Stegostoma tigrinum: one gene and its partner. The protein of the gene in region 1 purifies or fractionates together with the protein of each later gene. This does not show direct contact. Links are inferred from orthologs where the notes say so. Each region holds a gene or a part of one and is shown in the gene's direction. Other genes may lie near its edges.

Evidence for each region.
Region 2: the proteins of mad2l1bp (region 1) and lbr purify together in Homo sapiens (co-immunoprecipitation; 3 studies listed by BioGRID and IntAct, counting the BioPlex papers as one, with this or other methods). This does not show direct contact. The link is inferred for Stegostoma tigrinum from reciprocal best matches to the Homo sapiens genes MAD2L1BP and LBR.

What each region holds. Positions count from the first base shown.
Region 1 is NC_081357.1:7,176,136-7,188,230, reverse strand, and holds the start of mad2l1bp (MAD2L1-binding protein), read left to right. Parts: upstream 1-7,498; 5' UTR 7,499-7,499; coding exon 7,500-7,724; intron 7,725-10,236; coding exon 10,237-10,761; 3' UTR 10,762-12,095. Other genes in the region: dnph1 (2'-deoxynucleoside 5'-phosphate N-hydrolase 1), read right to left, coding at 2,541-2,651, 5,165-5,236, 7,136-7,301. UniProt on the Homo sapiens protein: May function to silence the spindle checkpoint and allow mitosis to proceed through anaphase by binding MAD2L1 after it has become dissociated from the MAD2L1-CDC20 complex.
Region 2 is NC_081357.1:3,562,751-3,574,594, reverse strand, and holds the start of lbr (delta(14)-sterol reductase LBR), read left to right. Parts: upstream 1-7,208; 5' UTR 7,209-7,351; intron 7,352-11,844. UniProt on the Homo sapiens protein: Catalyzes the reduction of the C14-unsaturated bond of lanosterol, as part of the metabolic pathway leading to cholesterol biosynthesis.

The sequences.
Region 1 (12,095 bases):
CAGCTGCTGAGGCCAGATGTAGCAAAGCCAGCAGAGAACATACATACACACCATGGAATTGAACACGCAGGCAGTCTTTTATGGACTGCAGGAGATGGACTGGATGTTCATGGTTCATACTGTCAGCTGGAAATAAGCCAGGGTACAGAGCTGTTTAATGTCTTTCAAATAATGGACTGTCACTTAGAATAGAGCTTTCAGAAATTTTCACGTTGCAGCTGTACAAAACTCTGGTGCGGCTGCACTTGGAGTATTGCGTACAGTTCTGGTCACCGCATTACAGGAAGGATGTGGAAGCATTGGAAAGGGTGCAGAGGAGATTTACCAGGATGTTTCCTGGTATGGACGGAAGATCTTATGAGGAAAGGCTGAGGGACTTGAGGCTGTTTTTGTTAGAGAGGAAGGTTAAGAGGCGACCTAATAGAGACATACAAGATGATCAGAGGATGAGATAGGGTGGACAGTAAGAGCCTTTTTCCTCGGATGGTGATGGCGAGCACAAGGGGACATAGCTTTAAATTGAGGGGTGATAGATATAGGAGAGGTGTCAGAGGTAGGTTCTTTACTCAGAGAGTAGTAAGGGCGTGGAATGCCCTGCCTGCAACAGTAGTAGACTCGCCAAGTTTAAGGGCATTTAAATGGTCGTTGGATAAACATATGGATGATAACTTTCCGTGTAGGTTAGATGGGCTTCAGATTGGTTTCGCAGGTTGGCGCAACCGAAGGCCGAAGGGCCTGTGCTGCGCTGTAATGTTCTATGTTCTATATAGGGAGCATGTTTAATCAGTTGACAAATTACACCAATTTTGGTGGTATCATGGGCAGCGAAGGTGGTTACCCAAGAATAAAACAGGATCTGGATTAGCTGGGCCTGTGGGCCAAGGAATGGAATTTAATTCAGATAAATGTGAGGTGTTGCAATTTGATAAGATACAAAGGCAGGACTTACAAAGTTAATGGTAGGGCCTTGAGGAGCGTTGCAAATCAGAGAGATCTAGGGGTGCAGGTGCGTAGTTCCTTGATAGTAGCGTCATAGGTAGACAGGGTGGTGAAGAAGGTGTTTAGCATGCTTGGCTTCAATGTTCAGAGCACTGAGTACAGGAATTAGGATGTCATGTAACTGATCTACAAGACATTGGTGAGGGCATATTTGGAGTACTGCATTTAGTTCTGATCACCTTACAATAGGAAAGATACTATTAAATTGGAACAAGAAAAATAATTCAGAAAAGATTTACAATGATGTTTCCAAGGCCCGGGGGTGGGGGTGTGGTGGTGGTGGTGGGGTGGAGGGGCAGTGTTATGAGTCATAAGGAGAGGCTGGAACTTTCTTCTCCCCTCCAGCACAGGAGACTGAGGTTTAGAGGTTTATAAAATCATGAGGGGCAAATAGAAGGTGAATAGCCACGGTATTTCTCCCCAGGGTAGCAGAGTCCAAACTAGAGGGCATTGGTTTAAGATGAGAGGCAAAAGATTTTAAAGAAACCTGAAGAGCAACTTTTTCATACAGAGGATGGTGTGTGTATGGAGCGAGCTGCCACAGGAAGTGGTAGAGTCGAATACAATTACAAAATTTAAAAGACATTCGGACAGGTACGTGGATAGGAAACGTTTAGAGGGATATGGGCCAAACGGACCTAGTTCAGTTTAGGAAAACTGGTCAGCATGGAAGAATTGGGCCAAAGGGCCTGTTTCCATGCTGTACGACCATGACTCTCTGTGTTTGCTGACAGAAGCTCACAATTCTGGGTTTTGATAGAGGACGGGTACCTGGAATGCAGTTTACTGCTGAAGGAACAATTTTTCAATCGTTTTTACAGCACTTTGTGGCTGAAAACAAGAAGCAGAGTTGGCTTGAAAAGCTTTGGGAGGGCAGTTGGATATCTACCAGCAATCTGAATAAGGAGTGAGGGATCCATAATCATGAGGTCTACAAAGAAACAGGGTGGGGATGTGCTACCATATGACTAATGGAAGAATACAATCTAATAGATAGAGTTTTACAATGATATGACTGGAATGCAAAGGAGAAATAAAACAAATTCTGAATGATGTTTATAATTTGCCTGTGTACAGCAAGACCTGTTAAAAAGATGTGCAATGAAATGGTGCAACACTGCCGGTTGATTGAGAGCATCCAGATTTCCTCTTTCAATGTTAATGGTTTCTAATAGGATTGTAACAAGGTTGTCAGCAGTGGGTCAAGGTGGCTCACCATTACCTTCCTGGTGACAGTTAGCATGGGCAATAAATGGTCGTCTTGCCTACATCTTGAGAACAAGTTAAAAAACAGGTAATCTTGAGTTTATAAGTCTTGTGCATTTTGAGTATAGGAGCTACATTTATGTAATTACTTGTTCTAAATTATGTAATTTGTCAGGGAGCTGTGTCCATCATTAGATTGTAAAGCAAACCAGATTGGTTCAGCAGGCCAATTTATCTTTACTACTGGTCCATCTACTTTCCATATTGAGTAACATGTACCAAGTCCTTCAATACACGTTAGAAGATTTCCCATTGTTTAAGTTCCAAATACTTACTATATTTTGATGATGATCTGAACAGACACAGAATATTCTTGTTCATAGCTACAGCCCTTCCAATTTCATAACCAACACCCAAGGAAGGTTGGGTAACCTCTGCCACTATTACTGTCAAGGAGAAAAACATTTCATCATTTAGAAGAACCTAACCATCTATGTAAATTAGAAAGCAGTGCATAGAAATTAACCATCATCCCTCACAGGGGCCACTGAATGGGAGCTGCAGCAAGGCACATTCGGATAAAGGAAGACACAGCAGAGAAGTGTGGTATGCAAAAGATTCCAGATTAGAAAATACAATACCCTGTGAATGGAAGCAGCAAGTTACACACTAGACTTTAAATATACGGACGTTGGAGTCTAAAATGGAGAAATTAAAGGTCATCTATTTTTGATGCAAGAAAAAAGGATCAACAATGTTGGAAATGGTGTTGGACTGTGGAACAGCAATGGGGATTCTGGAGTCCAATTGTACATCAGTAAGACAAGGGATTGGGTACAAAGAGCAATGAAATAGCTAATGGGACGTTAGTCTTCCTTTAAGAAATAAAGGAACACGGAATAAAGAGCAGACCATTCCGCTCCTTGAGCCTGTCCTGCAATTCAGTAAGATCATGGCTGATCTTCTACCACTTCCAATTTCCCCCATTCTCAAAATCAATCAGCCTCTCTACTGAATAAACCTAATACCTGTGCATCAACAACTCGGGAAGAGAGCAATCTGCAGATTAACAACCTTTTAAAGTGGAGAGATTTCTCATTAGCTCAGTCTGAAATGCCTGATCTCTTATTCTGGAATTATGGCCCAGTAATCAATTCCCAAACGTGTCCATTTTGTGATGCCACTTCGAGGTCTGAACATTGTCCAGGCCATACTGGGAATGGCTGGGGTCAGGTGCTGGCATCTAATCTCCAAGGGCAGGATTGTGCCATCGATGCCTCAGGGCTGGTAGCCCACTTGAGCCATAGCTCTAGATTCTCCAGGCAATCGATCAGTTTTCTCATTCTTCACGCTGCCTAGCTCCTCCGGTACGTCATACAGAATCCCTACAGAGTGGCCTGCTGAGTTCTCCAAACAGCATCCCACCCAGGCTCATCTCACCCCCACCTATCCCTGTAACTCCATATTTCCTATGTGTAACCCACCTAGCCTGCACATCTCTGACCACGATGGGCAATTTAGCATGGCCAATCCACCAAACCTGCACATCTTTGGACTGTGGGAGGAAATCCATGCAGATACAAATAAAATGTGCAAACTTTACACAGACATTTGCCAAGGCTAGAATCAAACCTTCATCCCTGATGCTGAGGCAGCTGTGCCAACCGCTGTCAATGTGCCATCCTACATGTTTCAATTAAATCACCAGTTGTTCTTCTCAACACCTGAAATAAAGGCCTTATGGAGTCATTCTCTCCTCATAACTCAACTGTAATTTCTTCACTGATCTGATGAACCTTACACACGCTGTCTCTACAGCAGCTAGACCTTTCCTGACTGAAGGAGACCAAAACTGCACACAGTACTCTAGAAGTGACTTCACCAATTCCTCCAACTCCACAGCTTACATGTCGCTCCAAAGGAGGAAGGGATCATTTCTGAAGAAGGGTCTAGGCCCGAAAAGTTAGCCTTCCTGCTCCTCTGATGCTGCTTGGCCTGCTGTGTTCATCCAGCTCTACACCTTGTTATCAGAGATATCTCCTGCACCATTTTCTTTAAACATATTCATGGGATACGGAAGTCTCTAGCTTGGCCAGCATTTACTGCCCATGCTTAATTGCCCTTGAGAAGGTGGTAGTGAACTGCCTTCATGAATCAACTGCAGTTAGAAGGGAATTCCAAGATTTTGACCCAGCGACATGGACGGAATGGTGATATATTTCCAAATTAGGATGGTGAGCGACTTAGAGTAGAACTTATAGATGGTGCTGTTCCTGTACATCTGCTTCCTTTGTTCTACTAGATGGAATTGATTGTGGGTTTGGAAGGTACAAGTGCTGGCTGACTGAACGTTTTGAGTCCATTATGACTCATCTTCAGAAACAGACATCATTTTGTTTCTCTATCCACTGATGCTACCAGACTTGCTAGGTTCACCAGCATTTATGTGTTTGTTTCAAGCCATAGAATTTTGCTTTTATTTGTGGGTTCTGGAAGGTGCTGACTAAGGAGCCTTAGAGAATTCCTGCACTTCATCTTGCCAGTTACCATCCCAAACCAGGGTATTGTCCAGGATATTACCGCAAAGAGGTGAACTACTTCAGTATCTGAGGAGCTGTGTTCCTATTGACTCCAGTTTTTCTAGGGCTCCTTGATGCCAATCAGTAAAAATCAAGTCTGCCCTTGATGTCAAGGACAGTCACTCTCACCTCACCGGTTTTTTGTACATGTTTGAACCAAGATTGTAATGAGCTGAGAGGTCTTGGCATAGCCCAAACTGGGCATCAGTGAACAGGTTATCACTGAGCAAATGCTGCTTGATAGTACTGTTGCTGACACTTCTATGACTTTACTGCTGATCGAGAGTAAACTGACGGGGTGGGAATTTGCTGGTCAGTTTTGTGGCTGTCCTGGGACAGCTTGGCTAGGGACAGAGCATTTATTTACAAACTAAACTCACCATCAGCCTCCTGTAGCCACTTCAAATCTCGATCGTGGATATATTTATCTCCAGACTTTACTCCATCTTCGCCTGCCAATTACCCAATAAAGAATGAATACTAAGTTTCAAATCAATTAAAATACACGAGCAAGCTGACTAATTTCACCGAAAGACTAGCACATCCAATTATAAACAAGTGGTCCTTCATTTCCTTTTCACTAAAGGAAAAATCACCCCGAGCTGCCTCACGCCCACTTTCTCACTCATTGGTGCTGTTCATCCTTGCCATCACCTACACAACTACAGTGTGTGTGTCTCTCTCAAGACCTAACGCACACTCCTGCCCCAAATCCTGACAATGCAGCTCAGTTGACGCCACTCTTGTCTGTATTGCATGGTTCCACTTGACAGATCACTGGACAAAGATAACTCTCGAGTGCAATACCAAGCAGATGTTGCATTATCAGAGGTCAAAATGTTTCTGGCAAGTGGTGGCCATATCAGCAACCTCATTAATAGTGCACAAGCCATTTGCTCACCATGTAAGCTTCATGCTGAAATACAGTGCATGATAGTCATCCTGTAAGATGATGGCTAGACTGTCCAATAATTTTCCATTTCAGATTATACAAACTCATCCGTGGTCCTGCAAAATTCCCAGTCTACATCAGATTTCCCAGGATGTGTAAAGAATGTCAAAGTTTTGAGTAGCAGATTCAACTAGCTGTTTGAAGCTGCTACTGTGCAGTAGAAACACAACTGATGTTCATCACTAACAGGATGCTGTTGTCAAGCCAAAAAGAGGTTCTTCCAATCACACAAGCCATCAATGTGGTATATGAATTTCAGTGCCAGCGTGACGGTAAGTACAAAGGCTGAACATAGTAACTTCCTCCAGCTGTTCACAACAAGGTACCACTGCAGCAACCAGCCGACATTTGTCGGCTAAGACTGAAATTAAATAACATTTGCTAAATAATCTTGAGTGGGCAGAAAATTAAAACCACAACAAAACTGGGATTGCCGGTCAGCACAGTGTATTTCCATGTGATAGAAGCCGCCATCTATTAATACACTGGACCATGTTCTTTGCAGAAAGATCACACACATGCACTGTGCCTGTTCCAACTCAAAAAAGTGACAGTGATGGGGGGTGGGGGTTGTTGATGAAAGGAGAGACACCCCCTCTCTCCAGCTTTCCTCTCTTTTTCGCTTTTCCCCTTCTCCTCCTCCTCTCTCTCCCTCAATTCCCCTTCCCAGTTCATCACAAAAATCAGCCTTTAACTCATTGACTCCATCTACACTTTCTGCTGCCTCAGGACAGCAACCAACACAATCACAGACCCTTCCCACCCCAGTTATACTCTTGTCCATCTGGCAGAAAATAACAGTTTGCACACGTATATAAATAGATTCAAGAACAGCTTCTTTTCAGCTGTTATTCGACTTCCGATGTGGAGGTACCAGTCTCAGCCTGGGGTGGACAAAGCCAGAAGACACCAGGTTATAATTCAAAGATGATAAAATGTGAGGCTGGATGGTTATAATTCAACAGGTTTACTTGAAATCACGAGCTATCAAAGCAGTGCTCCTTCATCTTCACTTCACCTGACGAAGGAGCCGTGCTCTGAAAGCTTATGATTTCAAATAAACCTTTTGGCATGGTGTGACTTCTGACATTAAGCTTCTGAATGAGCCTCTCAAACATTAAATTTAACGTCAGTCTCGCTCTCTGTGCACTTTGCAGCTGTAACATTGTACTCTGTTCTCTTATCCTAATGCACATTGTATGGTATGATCTGCCTGTACTGCACACAAAATAAAAACGTTTTACTATATCTAGGTGACAATAATAAAACAAATCCTCTCAAGCGGGGACCCTAAAACGGACATTTTCTCTAAAGCTCACCCTAGAAGTGGGTCATTCACTCAGTAATTTCTTCCTCCAACCTCCCCGCGCTGTCTCTGCCACCAAACATTTTCAATCACCTTTCTCCACTAAATCCGGGTTGCCGATATGCTCAGTAAAAACGCGTCCAAATTTCTTCAAGTAGTTGATAATCCGACAGTAAATGTCCACATCCTGCCTCCCACCCCTGATGCTCCCACAAAAATAAATGCCGAGACCCATGCTGCCACTACGCTCTCCACGCATGCACTTTTCCTCTCTCCCTAAGACGCTCACAGCCGTTGCCAATATTAAAGATGGCCCCGCACAACCGCAGCACGCTCAGTATTTTTAAACACGGGTGCGCCAGTATGAAAGATCGCGACAGGAGCGGGAGATTCAAATCGAAAATAACGGTCAGGGAGCTGGTGGGGTTGCGTGTGCGCAAGCGCAGTATGGCTAAAGATGGCGGCTGTGGCCGGGCAGTTGACGATGGCGGTCGATGGTAGTAGGGAAAGTCGCTCAGAGCGGGAAGGTGATGAATTACCAGTTCTGTTCCCTGGACTGGTGAGTGCGGATAGCTGCTGCCGACTGGTGTGTGAGCTCCTGAAACATGTCCTGTACCAGAGGCAGCAGTTACCACTCCCTTATCAACAACTGGCTTTCTTCAGTCGGACTGACTCTGGCCTGGTGAGTAAAACTGCTCCGTCACTATCATCCTCAAATGGATTGGGGCTAGGAAGGGCAATTGGCTGCAGTAGTCTGCCCGCTGTGCCTCCCTTTCGTTGAATTGAGATCGACAGCACAGAAGACAGCCATTCGGTCCATCGTGTCATCAAACACCCATCTATTCCCATTTTCCCAGCATTTGACCCGTAGAGATGGCGTCTCATATTCTTGATGGCTCATGCGTGTACCACCCTCTCAGGCTCTGAGTTCCAGATTCCCACCACCCTCAGTGAAAAAGACTTTCCTCAAATCCCTTTTAAACCTCCTGTCCCTTGCGTTAATGCTGCAGCACCCCCCTCCCCCATCCCCAGTTATTACTCTCCCTACTAAGGGGGAAAAGGCTTGGACATCTTAGTCTTTTCTGTTTGAAGGAAAACAAGCCTAGTATATAAATTTATAATACATGTATTAATCTTCTGCAGTCTCTCTAGTATAATAACTTGCCTCCTATACAATGGCAACTAGAACTGCATTCAATATTCCGGCTATGCCCTAAGTAGCTAGGGAAGAAATAGTAGAATCCTTTTATCGGATGTTTGTACCATTAATAGTCAGGGATGTGGTGCAAGAAGACTGGATGGTAACTAATATTGTGACATTATTTAAGAAAGACTTGATTACAGTTCACAGTTAATGGGAACTGCAGATGCTGGAGAATTTGAGATAACAAAGTGTGGAGCTAGATGAACACAGCAGGCCAGGCAGCATCTCAGGAGCACAAAAGCTTTTCTGATGAAGAGTCTAGGCCCGGAATGTCAGCTTTTGTGCTCCTAAGATGCTGCTTGGCCTGCTGTGTTCCACATTTCGTTATCTTGGTTACCGTTCAGCGGGTCTGTTTGAAAACACAAGCTTTCGGACCCTCAGTCCTCCTTCAGGTGTTAGTGAGAAAGGTAGTATCAGACACAGAATTCATAAGTAAAAGATCAAAAGTTCACACCATTGAGATTGTATTAAACAAACAAGATTTAGTCAGTTCGAAGATCTTAATTGATTAATATATATGTCTAAATCCCTGAATTCCTTTCAAGTCACGGTCCTGAGAGAACCAAAGATTTATCAGTGTAAAAAAAGTCTGACCTAAAATGTCACCTCTTCTTACAGTAGACTTAGAAGATTGCATTCAGTTCTGGTCACCACATTACAGGAACGATGTGGATGCTTTGGAGAGGGTGCAGAAGAGGTTTACCAGCATGCTGCCTGGAGTACAGGGTATGAGCTGTAGGAGAAGTTAGAAAAAGCTCCAGTTGTTGACTCTAGAGCGGCAGAGGCTGAGGAGAGATTTGCTAGAAGTCTATAAAATTACGAGATGCATTGATAGGATTTGACAGTCAAAGTCTTGTTTCCAGAGTTGAAATCCCTATTAAAAATGGGCATGCATTTAAGGTGAGAGGAGAAAAATGCAAAAGGATTATAAGGTTCAGGTTTTTTTCTCATTGCGGTAAGAGTGTGGAACCTGCAGGAGTGGCAGTGGAGGCAGATACAGTAGGGCCATTTGAGAGATTTTTATAAAAGCACATAAATGTACAAGGAATAGTGGGATTGGACCAAGGGCAAACAGAAGGAATTGGCATCACATTTGGCCCAATATTGTGGGTCAAAGCTCCTTGTTCTATGTATATCAATATGTTCTAGTATATCAATATATCTGGTATAACAATACTGTACTATGTATCTTTGCCTTAAAAAATTAAGATTCTGCATCCACTGCCTTTTTAGGAAGGGAATTCCAAAGACATTCAGTTCTTGGATAACAAAGTCTGGAGCTGGATGAACACAGCAGGCCAAACAGCATCTCAGGAGCACAAAAGCTGACGTTTCAGGCCTAGACCCTTCAAATGGTTTTCTGATTTGTTTTAAATGGATGACTCCTTATTTTAAAGTTTCATTCTTAGTTCTAGATTCATAAAGATATGCAGCATGGAAACAGACCCTTCAGTCAACTTGTCCATGCCGACCAGATGTCCAGTATAAATCAGGTCCCATTTGCCACAAGAGGAAACATCCTTTCAATACCCACCCAATCAAGTCCCCTCAGGATCTAGTATGTTTCAGTTAATTGACTCTTTCAAACTCCAGAGGATTTTGGCATAGCCTGGCCTCAAAGGCTTATTTCAGGTATTAGCCTAGTAAACCTTCTGAGATCTACTTCCAGTGTGTTAGCATCCTTCCCTTAGTACAGTGACCAAACATGTACGCAGTATTCCAGATGTGGTCTCACCAATACCCTGTTTAACTGAAGCGTAACCTCATTACTTTTGTATTCAACTCCACTCACAATAAACCATCACATTTTATTTGCTTTCTTCATTACTTACTGCACCTGAAAACTAATGTAACAAACAGCAGTGTCATGACATTCCCAGCTATTAACCGTTAGAGAAATGTCATTCTGCTGAGTTTGGAAAGTGGGGATAAAGATTCCCCATGATACAGGCTTGTATATTGAATTATCACATTGTTTTTACTCTCCTAGGCAGACAGTTCCACATTGCCACATTCAAGAAGAAATGAACAGAATAATTGCAAGAAATTTCAGAGGGTACTGTCTGAGCTCAATGAGATTTTCCAGAATTTGGAGGCAATGTTCATGCTGACACTGGTTCCTTGTGTGCATATTCTGTTGGGTGGTAGTATTGTTAATCCAAAGGAAATGTATGAGATCAACATGGAGCGGATTGTCTTTGGCAGCACTGAGGAGAGCTTGAAAACAGTCTCTTGTATCCGAAAACTTTTCCACACTCTCTTTGTCAAGGACATCTTTAACGAATTGAAATCCATTCCTTTGATGAACACTGTGCTACTTGTCCAAGGACACAGGGATTGTGGAGTTCAGTGGTTTCGACCCAAACTTAACTACAGAATTCCAAACCGCACCAGGAAGCTGGTTATTAACCTGGCATGTGATACAGTGAACTTTACATCAACTGAGCAGCCGAGTTATAACCATGATGACTATATCTGGTTTCAAGCACCTATAACAATCAAGGGATTTCATTAATTAATGTATAAACCTTTTTAATAGTAGGTGCCACTTTCTGCAATATTTAGGTGGTACATACTTTTTAAATTATAAGGACTGGACTTGAATAGCCTATTATTTCAATTTGGAGGAAAAATAGTACAGTTGTAAGTTTTTATCTCAATTGGGCCTGTCTGGGTGACCCTTCCCATTGGAAGGAGATATTAATCATGATACTAGACATTAGGTTAGAGGTAAGGATTTGGTAACATATCAAATTGCCAAATTGGATCAGAAAATGTGAGGTAATTGGTTTTAAGTGGAAGATAATAGTGACTAGGCTGTCAGTAAATTAGTTAGGAATTACATTGCTCAATAAAGGTAAAGTCACCCTTGTCTTATTGGTAAATAGGGCTGCTTTCTCATTCGAGAGAGACAACTGGTGGTTAACCTGAGAGTTACCAAGCCTAAGCATAGGGAGAGATTGAGAAGCAGAGTCCTTTGTGGTAACCTTTGGTCCAAGAATTGAGCCCAGACTGAGGACACTACTGCATTGCAAACTGAGCTAACATTGGCAAATAAGCAGAAAGGGTCAGAGTGCCTGATTTGGTCAATGATAGTTGGTCTTTGTATCCTTGGTCTAAAATTGGGAATAAGCTCTAATTTCTTCTCTTGAAAGCTATCCAGAGGAACTGCTTTGAACCAATCTATAACTGCCCTGTATGAGGGCAGCATGAGAGTCAAGGTCCATAATGATAACTGCTCCTGTAGAAACTAAGAGGAGTAGGCCATATGAGCTGTGCAACCCCTTCCACCATTTTAATAAAATCTTGACTTAGCAGCTCTGCAACCCCAGATTCCTTCCAATCTCCTATTTCTTGATTCCGTTTATGCTGTTGACACCATCACCATTTAAAATTTTTTTTCTCACGTTTGGCTTGGAACTGAGTTACAGTTGAGAATTGAACTTTGAACTTCAGCTTACTTTGTTTAAAAAAAGGGAAAGAACAAAAGACTGATGTTTTCTATTGGAAATTGGTCTAGAAAAATAATGCAGGTTAGGTACTGCTCTAAGAACACTATAGACAAACTCACATCAAAGTGTTATAGAACATTACAGCACAGTACAGGCCCTTTGGCCCTCGATGTTGTGCCGACCTGTCATACTGATCTCAAGCCCATCTAACCTACACTATTCCAGATACGTCCATATGCTTATGCTTATGGACTGGCAGTGAGTTGAGTGTTGAATTGGTCAAGGGAGAACTGGTTTTGGCCTGCTAACTGCAGACAAGATTAAAAAATAAAGAGAAAACAAAGAGTAAATTGGCTGTGACCAGACAGGATGGAGGCAGTATTGCTTCAGAAGCTAT
Region 2 (11,844 bases), about 3.6 Mb from region 1:
GGTTGGTTAGCTCAGCAGAACAATGAGAAATAGGATTAGACCTGAAAAAAGTGTGAAGTAATGCACTTAGGGAGAGCTATTAGGCAAGGGATTATAATATGAATGAAAAGAATTTGGAAAGTACTGAAGATCAGAGGAACCTTGAACTAACTCAGATGCAGGAGGAACACAGCAGGCTGACAGAGAAACAGACTTAACATTTTGAGTCCAGTAGGAATCTTCTTCAGAACTCTGCCATTTTAGTTTGAACACTGGCTAGCTAGCGACACCCACATCCCACAAATGAATAGAAAAAAAAGACACTTCACAAGTGCAATAGCAAATAATACCCCTTGGACATAAGTTCTGGTCCTGCCCAGGTATAGTTTTGGTAATCTTTTCTAAGATATAGGAGCATCAGAGGGAGTTGAGAGAATGTTCACTAAATTAATCCAAAATTAATGGAGCAACTGTCTTATGAAGAGAAGTGAAATGTGTCTTGGCCATACAAATTCGAGGTTAGAAGAATGAAAGTCAATTTTACCGAAGTATATAAGGTTCTCAAAGGACTTGACAGATGATGTGGCAAGGTTATTTCCCATTGTGGAAGAGTCTTGGACCACAGAGCATAATCTCAGAATAAGGGTTGCCCATTGAAGACAGAAATGAAGTGGAGTTTCTTCTCTGAGAATAGTAAATCTGCAGAATTCTTTATCACAGAAGGCTTTCCAAAGCTGTCATTATATATATTCAAGCTTGGGGTAGACAGTTATTTATCATTAAGGGAATCATTAAGGGTTATGGGGAAAAGGAAGGATAGAAATTGAGGACTGTCAGATTGTCTATATTCTGCTTGAATGGTGGAGCAGATTCAGTGGGCTGAATGGCCTATATCTGCTGCTGCATTTTATGGTCTGTTTCAGTCGGATGAAACTAATGCACCTCATGAATTCAAAAATGTAATTTTTGATGCGCCAGTTCGCAGTAATTGCACATGGTCATGAATATGTTGCATGAATGCATTCACCTCAGCAGCAAATATGAAAATCACCCGGAGAACATTTTCCATAATGGGATTGGGTTTTTTGCACTCAGTATGTTCCACCCTCATTTCAAGATCTCCTGGTGTTTTGGTAAGCATTTGTAAAATTCCGTCTTTGCTTTTGTAAACTAATAATAGCATTGATATGCACTGTTGGTTCAAATGCTGCTTTAGTCATCCAATTTCCAAGTCAAGATGTTGATGACTTGGAGGGGAACTTGCAGGTAATGCAAAAAATTGCTTGATAACACTGTTGATGACACCTTCCATCAGTTCACTGACGATCAAGAGTAGACTGATGGGGTGGGAATTGTCAGTAATTGGCACTTTTGTATCAACCCACCATTTTCCTCCATAATTGTTTCTAGAGGTTCAGTGATCACCAGTGTAAAACCAATTGTTCGGTAATTGCTGGGCCATTCTTCACATTTCTTTTGAATAAGAGCATTAAGTTTGCAAATCTCCAACATCTGGCACCACCCTGAATCCAGTCAAGACTGAAAGATAATTGCCAGTGCTTCTGCAAATTAACACTATCAGTTTCTTCAATATCCTTAGATTCATCTCATTGAGTCCAGTGCCTTATCGACTTTAGGCACTGGCAGCTTATCTAATAGCCATGCTGCATCTTGACAAATGTGATGCCTTGTCTCTACTATTTAACTGAAATTCCTCCCAACTTCCCTGGCTATATAATTTGTAGGAATACTAGTCCAGCACAGTTTAGGTGTCGAATGTCCCAAAGATATAACACACACTTTCCCCAAAACTGATACCAGTGGCCACTTCTCTGACACCAGTTTCTGAGCCATGTATTCATCTTAATTTTATGTGCCCTATGCCAATTTGCAAATGGCTCAGATAATAATCCAGAGACTATATTTGAAGTTCCCATTTTCAACATAGTACCCCAAACCCCGTACTCTCTATATAGGACCCTCTTTTGTTTTATCTATGTCAATGGTACCTACATTGAGCATGATAACTGGATCCTCTATCTCTCAATGCAAGTTCCTCTCTAGCCCATCATCTTTGGCACCTGGCAGGCAACATAGTTCTTTGGACTCACGTTCTTCGCGCAAAGAACTGAGTCATTTCCCCTCATTAAACTGTCATCTACTATCACAATATTTCTTGTTTCACTTCCCACTTGAATGGCTTCCTGTAACACAGTGCTAAGGTCAGTTTGCACATGCATCGTGCAGCCACAGACATTGGGTGTATCTCAACCATACTGGGCAATTAGAGAGGCTGGGAGTGGGGAAGTATGCAGCAGCCAGAATCACCATGAAGCAGATCGAAAGGAATCTGCAGCAGCTTGGCACCACTGTATCGTACTGGCAGGATTGAACTGAATTGAATTAGTTTCATTATCACATGTACTCAAATGAATACGGTGAAAAATTCACACTCACCGCATTAAAGCACTATCTCAGGTACAAGATACCTAGGTAGAGATACTTTAAGTTAAAATTCTTAGAAAACTAAAAAAAATTAGAAAAATAAAGAAATAAATTGCCCAACATTACAAGTCACTGGTATAAATTAGAAAAATAAAGTGAAAGGTTCAGAACATCGGTCTTTTTGACCCAATCCACACTGGTAACTGGTCTCAAGGGAGACATCCGCTGCCTCACCGCACCCTGCACCGGAACCACTGACATATCAATTGTCACACTTCAGGCGCCAACTCTTTGTCACTATACCCACTATGCTGATGCTGCTGAACCCACACTCGCCCTGCAACCATGAGTCCCTGGTTCCACTGTCAGGCCAGGCTGCTGCCAAGCCACAAGTCCCGCTTTGGCTGCAGATGTCACCTTGCTGGTGCCACCATCTTGAAGAGTCTGCTGCCATCAGTGCAGCCATCACCTCTCACTGAAACTTTGCTGCCACTGCTCCCCGAACGCTGGGGGAACAACGTCGCTGCTGGTGCCACTGGCTCCAACGCTGGGGGAGCAACCTTGTTGCTGTTACCATAAGCTTCCTGAATGGCAGGATACTGCAATCACTGTCACTTCTTCCTATTGGCAGAAGAATGTCCCTGTTGCTGCCGCCTCCTATTGCAAGGAGAAGCGATGTCCACAATTCTGCATGCAGCCCACTCTCAGTCTTTGTCAGAGCTGCTGACCAATCCACCACAGAAAAGAAGAAATAAAAGACCAAAAGGAAAGGATAATAAAGAGAAAGAAAACAGCAGAAGCAAGAATAAAGCAAACAAGCAAAGCAAATGGGCCCTAGGCAAGACCCTGAACGCAGCCCTGTTACTCTGCCGCCATCTTACACCAGAAGTACAAGAATGGGTTTGAGTGAGATTCAGAACACAGGAACATAGAAAATAAGAGGATTAAGTCATACAGCCCTTCAAACTGCTAGCTGATCATCCAGTTCAATACCTAGTTCCTGCTTTCTCCACAAACTCTTTGATCCCTTTATCCATAAAAGCAATATCTAACACCTTGAAAACATTGTTTCAGAGACAGTAGAAACTGTAGATGCTGGAGAATCTGAGATAACAAGGTGTAGAGCTAGATGAACACAGCAGGCCAAGCAGCATCATAGGAGCAGGAAAGCTTGATGTTTCGGGCCTAGGCCTGCTGCTTGGTCTGCCTGTTCATCAAGCTTCACACCTTGTTACCTTGAAAACATTCGACGTTTTGGTCTCAACCACTTTTTGTGGGAGAGAATTTCCACAAATTCACCACACCTCATTTCAGCATTGGCTTCCCTGGTCCCTCAGACTGTGACCCCTGATTCTGGACTGTTGAGTCGTACATACTTCCTGAGTTTACCCTGTCCAGTGCTGTAGAATTGTAGGTTTACAAGAACCAAAATACAGATACCTAGTCTACGACTCTGACAGTAAGAGTCAGTGCAGCAGCAGAGTAGTAAGCCTGTGTGTGAACTCTCCCCACAAATCTGTCAGTAAAAGCTCTGGGGGATGAGACCCAGACTGAATTCAATTGAAGCAGCAGCAACCCTGCCAGAATTCAAAAAGGCTGATGCAAGTCACATGAAGCAAAGCAGTGAACTGATTGGTGGGCAGTGGATAGCTATTCTTGTCCACATTAAACCTGTATTAACATAAGAGTTCTACTTATTACTTATTAACAAATTTAATTAACATTCTGAAACAAAAAGAAATAAATTTCTGGAGAAAGTCAGCAGTTCTGACAGCATTAATGTTTCAGCAACCTGTCACAGATGCCTGCCTGACTGCTGAGTTTCTCTGGCAAATTCTGTTTTTGTTTGTTTCAGATCTCCAGAATCTTCAGTTCATTTTTAAAATTAATTTTCTACTTATCTTAAATTTAGGGTAAGAGATTATTTCAACTAAAGCAACTAAACTAATGCTGGGAGCTTGGGCCCCTGGGTTGCTTGGCCCATTGTACGTGGGAAATCTTAGAATACTCCTTGCAAGCTGGATGACCAAATCTGCAGGTAGTGCCACCAGTTACATTAGCACAAACACTGGGTTTTGGAGCTTGAGTGTCAACTGGAGGCACAGTAGTGGTCTTGTGCAGTTGGGAGTATTTTGGTAGCATGTTTACAGAAATGCAGTCAGGGAAGGAAAAGAGGCAGGCAGACAGTCGATGAAGCTCTCAAGTGCAGCTCACTCAAGAAAATTGTTTGTTGGAACACAGTGACAGACATTTAAGGGGGTAACTCATGACACTCAGCAAAAATACATCCCAGTAAGGAGGGAAAATTCTGAGAGGGACAAATCAACTGTGATGGGCAGTAACTAGTGGGGTGCCACAGGGATCGGGGCTGGGAGCCCAGCTATTCGCAATATGTATTAATGATTTGGATGGGGAAATAAAATACAACATCTCCAAGATTGCAGATGATACCAAGTTGGGTGGAAGGGTGAACTCTGATGAGGATGCAGAGAAACTTCAGCATGATCTCAATAGATTGGGTGAGTGGGCAAATCAATGGTAGATACTGTATCATTTGTATACATGTGAGGTTATTCACGTTGGAAGCAAAAACAAGAAGGCAGATTACTACCTGAAAGGCTGTAAATTGAGAGAGGGGAGTGTGCAGTGGGGCCTGGGCATCTTTGTGCAGCAGTTGCTGAAGGTAAGCATGAAGGTGCGGCAGGCAGTAAAGAAAACAAATTGTATGTTGGCCTTCATAGCAAGGGCTTTCAAGTACAGGAGCTGGGCTGTGTTGTTGCAGTTGTAGAGGGCCTTGGTGAGACCACACCTGGAGTGTTGTGTGCAGTTTTGATCTCCTTTTCTGAGGAAGGATGCTCTTGCTCTCGAGGGAGTGCAGTAAAGGTTTACCAGGTTGATTCCAGCAATGGCAGGACTGACGTATGAAGGGAGATTGACTAGGTTGGGATTGTATGTCTGGTGACCCGGCAGTAATGGGGGAAATGAGAGTTACAGAGTGGTAGGAAAGGACAGAAAGAAGAAAAAAAAGAGTATCACAACAATCAAGACTTAGATATTTCAAGGATAACAAAAAGACAAAAGGAAAGGCTGTGCTTTTGAATGCAGCTAGTATTGAGAACAAATTCATACCGTACTCTAAAGTAAACAAACACAAGAAGGCTGGCATGTTGGCCCTTATTTCATGGGGATTTAGGTATAAGAGTAGGGAAATCTTACTGCAACTGTACAAGGTGCTGATAAGACCACTTCTGGGCTAGTGAGCAGTTTTGAGTTCCTTTTTTAAGTGTCATAGAAGATTGACTAAGACCATCCTTGGTATGGAGGGATTGTCTTATGAGCAAAGGCTGAACAGATTTGGACTCTACTCTTTGAAGAGTAGAAGGATGACAGGCAATCTCATTGAGATGTATAAGACTCTTGAAAGGCTTGAAAAGATAAATGCTGAGAGGATAACAAAGTGTAGAGCTGGATGAACACAGCAGGCCAAGCAGCATCATAGGAGCACAAAAACTGACGTTTCGGGCCTGCTGTGTTCGTCCAGCTTTACACACACTTTGTTATCACGGATTCTCCAGCATCTGTAGTTCCTATTATTTTTAATGCTGAGAGGATGTTTCCCTCAAGGGAGAGTTTAGGACCAGAGGGCATAATTTCAGGATAAACAGGCACCAATTTAAGACTGACATAAATACGAATTTCTTCTGTCAGTGTGGTGAGTCATGAACTCCTTGTCACAAAGAGCCGTGGGCTGGGATCCTTGTAAATATTTAAGCCTGAAATAAATGAACTGATGATCAGTAGGGAATCACACGGTATATACAGGAATATTGGATCAGGCATGATCCAACTGAACGTCAGAGTAGACTTAAGGGACTGAACAACTTGCTCTTGTTCCTACTTTTTACAGTGTTGTGGTCTAATCTAAGGCTATCCTCAATATTTACCCACTGACCAATTTACTTATCACATGCAAACTTTGAATCATAATTATGCAACACAGAAACATACCCGTTAGTCCAACCTGTCAATGCTGGCCATAATTGATCACCCTCTTCCATATATAGTAAATTGAAAGAAATACAAATAAAGATCCCAGCCTAAAGTGTTTGGTGCCTGAACAGTCCAAAGGTTCCCCGCAGTAAAAGTCAAGGAGGCATCCTGTGATTTTGTGGAAGGTGTTGGTATGGGAAGGGGAAATAAAATCAGAGTGAGCTCTGGAAAGGTGGCAGGGGAAAGTGCAACTGCTGTTAACACTATGTTAGAGATTATTGTACAACTTAAAGCCCTTACATAACACTTGCCGCTTAATTTCACTCAACCCTATTTTTCACTTCCTTAAAAGTTTGCAATGTTTCCCTTGTAACCATTTCCATTGCTGATGAATGTGACCATTCACCTGAATGTTAACTCCAGTTTTGTTTTATGTCTTTAGATGTGATCTGCTGCCTACGAACCAGCATTTTCTGTTTTTATCTCGGATTTCCAGCATCTGTCGGGATTGCAGAACCTGAGATGATGTGCGTTTAATGGCTGTCACAATTTTCTTCCCACAAGAGGAGTTTTATCTGAACTTTTTTTTCCTCTCTCCGAAAGTGTAAGACGGAGGAAACGGCATAACTTTCGATTGACGCTTGTCATTTCGGCCCGGAACCGCCAACAACACTACACCCGCTTCTGTAAACTCCACCATTTTGTAACGGCCGTTATGATGGAACGCGATCTCGAGTGGCCGAGTTCAGCCAATCCGCGAGCGGCAAGGCCGTGCAAACTCTTCGCTCTGGGCCAATGAGTGGTCTTGGCGCCTTTGTGGAGCTCGTGAGCTGTAGCGGCGGAAAACGAGAACATTTGTATTTCAAAAAAAAACTGTCTTTTTAGATCGTAGGAGAAGAGTTTATTTTGAAGAAAAGATTTAAACATTTCAGCTAAGGTAATGTTTTCTGTATGCTTGATGAGAGTTTGGAAGTAAAAATTATTGTTTTTCTTCGTAAACTTGTTTTATTTGACGTTTTGAGAGGGCGGGCGATGTGTTTCCTCCTGTCAAGTTTCTTCTGAAATGGTGGGTGGAAACAAAATAACGCGTAAAAAAAACCCGAAATGTTCTGCTTTTGAGCGCAAAGACATTTGAGACGTTTTAATCTCCCCGTACCCCACTATTTGCGTTAACGTGACAGGATTTTGATAGTTTTATCTCGGAAAACTGCAAGACCCCAGTAAAGTTTTTTTAAAAACTTGATTTTTCTCTCCAGTTTCAGGTTCAGAACTAAATGCGCTCGTCATCTATATGGTATTTTCTCCGAGTTCTAGTTAACATTTTTGAACGTCTACGGATTTTAAAATAAATATTGAAAGCAAACGGTCTCAACATAGCTTTTTTCTCCTTACCGAAGAGATATTTTTTAAAAAGTTCTACTTTTTTGTGTTTAAGTATAATTCACTTTGCTTTGTTTTCGGTGTTTTTGGACGTTATTCTCTAAGGCTGCTGGATAACAAGTGTATGGGGAGGTACTTCCTGTGCCTCACTGAGCTCAGTTTTTTAAATGCACCTTTATCTTTTCGGCTCACCGCTATTAAGCAAAGTCTATTTCTTTAACTTGCTGTAAACCAGACATCTTTCAAAATATGTATCAGAGATAATGGGAACTGCAGATTCCACTCTCCCTCCCATTCTTTAGATGACATGTCCATCATGGGCCTCCTGCAGTGCCACAATGATGCCACCCGAAGGTTGCAGGAACAGCAACTCATATTCCGCTTGGGAACCCTGCAGCCCAATGGTATCAATGTGGACTTCACAAGCTTCAAAATCTCCCCTTCCTCCACTGCATCCCAAAACCAGCCCAGTTCTTCCCCTCCCTCCACTGCATCACACAACCAGCCCAGTCTGTCTCTGCCTACCTAACGTGTTCTTCCTCTCACCCATCCCTTCCTCCCACCTTAAGCTGCACCTCCATTTCCTACCTACTAACCTCATCCCACCTCCTTGACCTGTCCGTCTTCCCTGGACTGACCTATCCCCTCCCTACCTCCCCACCTATACTCTCCTCTCCAGCTATCTTCTTTTCTCTCCATCTTTGGTCCGTCTCCCTATTTATTCCAGAACCCTCACCCCATCCCCCTCTCTGATGAAGCGTCTAGGCCCGAAACGTCAGCTTTTGTGCTCCCGAGATGCTGCTTGGCCTGCTGTGTTCATCCAGCTTCACACTTTATTATCTTTCAAAATATTGTTATTCAGGATCAAATCGATGCTTCGCTGTACCTGCTTGCTTATTCTTTGCGATGTGGATGTTGCTGGCAAACCCAGAACTTATTGCCCATTTCTAATTGCCCTTGAACTGAATGGCTTGTTAGTTTAATTTGGAGGGTAATTAAGACTGTATTACATTGCCACTGGTGTGCATATTACATGGGCCTGACTGGCAAAGGCTAGGAGACTTCATTCCTTGTAGGGCATTCATGTTGAACAACTTTGGACCAACTTGTCCATTCCAACCACGTTTCCCAAACTAAACTCGTTCTACTTAGCTGCATTTGGCATATATCCTTTTTAAACCTTTCATGTTCATTTACCTGTCCAAATGTATTTTAAAATATTATAACTACCTGCATCCACCACTTCCTCTGGCAGGCCATAGGAACATAGAAGATAGGAGTATAAGAAGGCCATTTGGCCCTTTGAGCCTGCTCCACCATTCATTACGATCATGGCTGATTGTCCAACTCAGAAGTCTAATCCTGCTTTCTGCTCATAACCTTTGATCCCGTTCACTCCAAGTGCTAAAGCTAGCTGCCTCTTGAATACATTCAGTATTTTGATCTCAACTACTTCCTGTGATAATGAATTTCACAGGCTCACCACTGTTTGAGTGAAGAAATGTTTCCTTGTCTCTGTCTTAAATGGTCTTCCCTGAATCCTTAGACTGCAACCCCTGGTTCTGGACTCACCCACCATCAGGGGCATCCACTCTGCATGTACCCTGTCTAATCCTGTTAGAATTTTTATAAGTCTCTGAGACCACCACCCCCCCTCCCATTTCGTCTGAACTCCAGCGAAAACAATTCAAACCTTGTCAGTCTCTCCTCAAAACGTCAGTCCTGCCATCCCTGGAATCAGCCTGGTAAACCTTCTGTGCACTTCCTTGAGAGCGAGAGCATTCTTCCTCAAAAAGGAGACCAAAACTGTGCACAATATTTTAGGTATGATCTTACCAAGGCCCTGTATAACTGAAACAATACATCCCAGGTCCTGTACTTGAAATGTCTCGGAATGAAGGCCAACGTACCACTTGCCTTCTGTACCACCTACTGCACTTTTTATGCTTATCTTCAGCAACTGTTGCACAAGGATGCCCAGGTCCCACTGCGCACTCCCCTCTCCCAATTTACAGCCATTCGGGTAGTATTCTGCCTTCTTGTTTTTGCTTCCAAAGTGAATAACCTCACAAGTATTCAAATTATACTGCATCGACCATTGATTTGCACACTCATCCAATCTATTGACATCATGCTGAAGGATCTCTGCATCCTCATCAGAGTTCACCCTTCCACCTAACTTGGTATCGTTTGCAAACTTGGAGATGTTACATTTTGTTCCCTCATGCAAATCATTAATATGTATTATGACATCAGTCCCCAGTCCTGCCCAGGTGTAACCCGTCCAATTTGAACAGGTACCGCCTCCCCCAGAACGAGTCCCAATGCCCCAGGAGTCTGAACCCCTCCTCTGACACCATCTTGTCATCCACGTTTTCATCCGATATATCCTGTCATTTTAACTCTGACGAGCACCTGTTCGTTCCACGTAAGAGCTACCCTGAATGGAAAAAGTTGCTCCTTGGGCCCCTTTTAAATCTTTCCACTCTTACCTTTAAAAATATGCCTCTAGTTTTAGACTCCCTTACCCTAGCGAAAAGGCTATTAACCTTATCTATGCCCTTGCGATTTTGTAAACCTCTAAGTCATCCCCCAACATACTACACTCCAAGGGGATAAAAGTCCCAACCTCTTACCACTTAGTGGTCTTTTGTGTGCAGAAGTTTTGGCCAGTTTAAACTGTATTTTGAATTGGAGGGGGGTAGCAGGGTGTGAACAGATATAAACAAAGAGGATACCTTTAAGATATATCTCCCCATGTCTGCGTGGGTTTCCTCCGGGCACTCCAGTTTCCTCCCTCAGTCCAAAGATGTGCAGGCTGGGTGGATTGGCCATGCTAAATTGCCCATAGTGTTCAGGGGTGTGTGTAGGTTATAGGGGAATGGGTCTGGGTGGGATGCTGCAAGGGGCGGTGTTGACTTGTTGGGCTGAAGGGCCTGTTTCCACATTGTAGGGAATCTAATATAAATTTGCTGCTCAGTGAGTTTATGATCAATCTGTCAAGACCACCAGACCTTCTAGCCTGGAGGTGGGGACACTATCATTCCCCCAGAAAGTTCCCAGGTTCTGATTGTGTGAACACCTTTTAATCAACTATGTAGATATCAGTAAAGGGCAGGGTGCTATTCTCCATTGTTTGGAAATGCTTGCATCACTTCAAAGTTCAAACTTTACATAGAGAATGAAGGAACAATTGACTTGAAGATTGAGCAGATGAATTAGATCACTGAAAGTAATTTAATCATTATTATATCTTGATTTAAAATTAACAAGAGTGTATATTAGAAGCTATTAGGCTTTTAATTTTAGTTCTAATTGCTCAGACGTTTAAAAGATTAGCACTCTTCAAATATACTTAACTACATTCACTCTTGAAGTTGTAGCCGGCTGACTTGCCTTGCTTCTTCCTACATTTGTGATTTTAGACTTCACTTGCTGTCTGCTTTTGCTCACAACTCACTTTCTTTTTTAAAAACATCTTTTGGGTCAATTTTTGCATGGACTGATGGAATGACACTGGTTTATACTTGAGGTCGCAACTTCCTTTCCAAACAGACACCAGAAAAAGTGTCATACGGACAATAATAGACCACTAGGTCCTTCAAGCCTGATCCACCATCCAAAAAGATTGTGGTTGATCTGATTTCTGTCGCACTTCTACGTTCTTGCATAATCCTGATGATAATCTTTCATACACTTGGTAATCAAGAATCTGCTGTCCAGCCAGCTGAGTTCACTGATACCTGATTGGCGATGCAGTGTGATGCCAGCAGTACAGGTTCACTTCCCCACTGACTGAAGTTACCATTAAGGTCATGCCTTCTCAACCTCATTCCTTGTCTGAGGCATGATGACCCTCAGGTTAAACTACCAGCAACCATCTCTCATTAGAGAGCGCGGTCCTATGATCTTCTGGAAATATGAAGTCTTCAATCAAGAATGTATATACCTATGCCTTGAAAATATATAAAGGTTCTACATCCATTCTGTTTTCAGAAATTATTATCTTAAATGGTGAACCCTTATTTTAAAACTACAACACTGACCAGA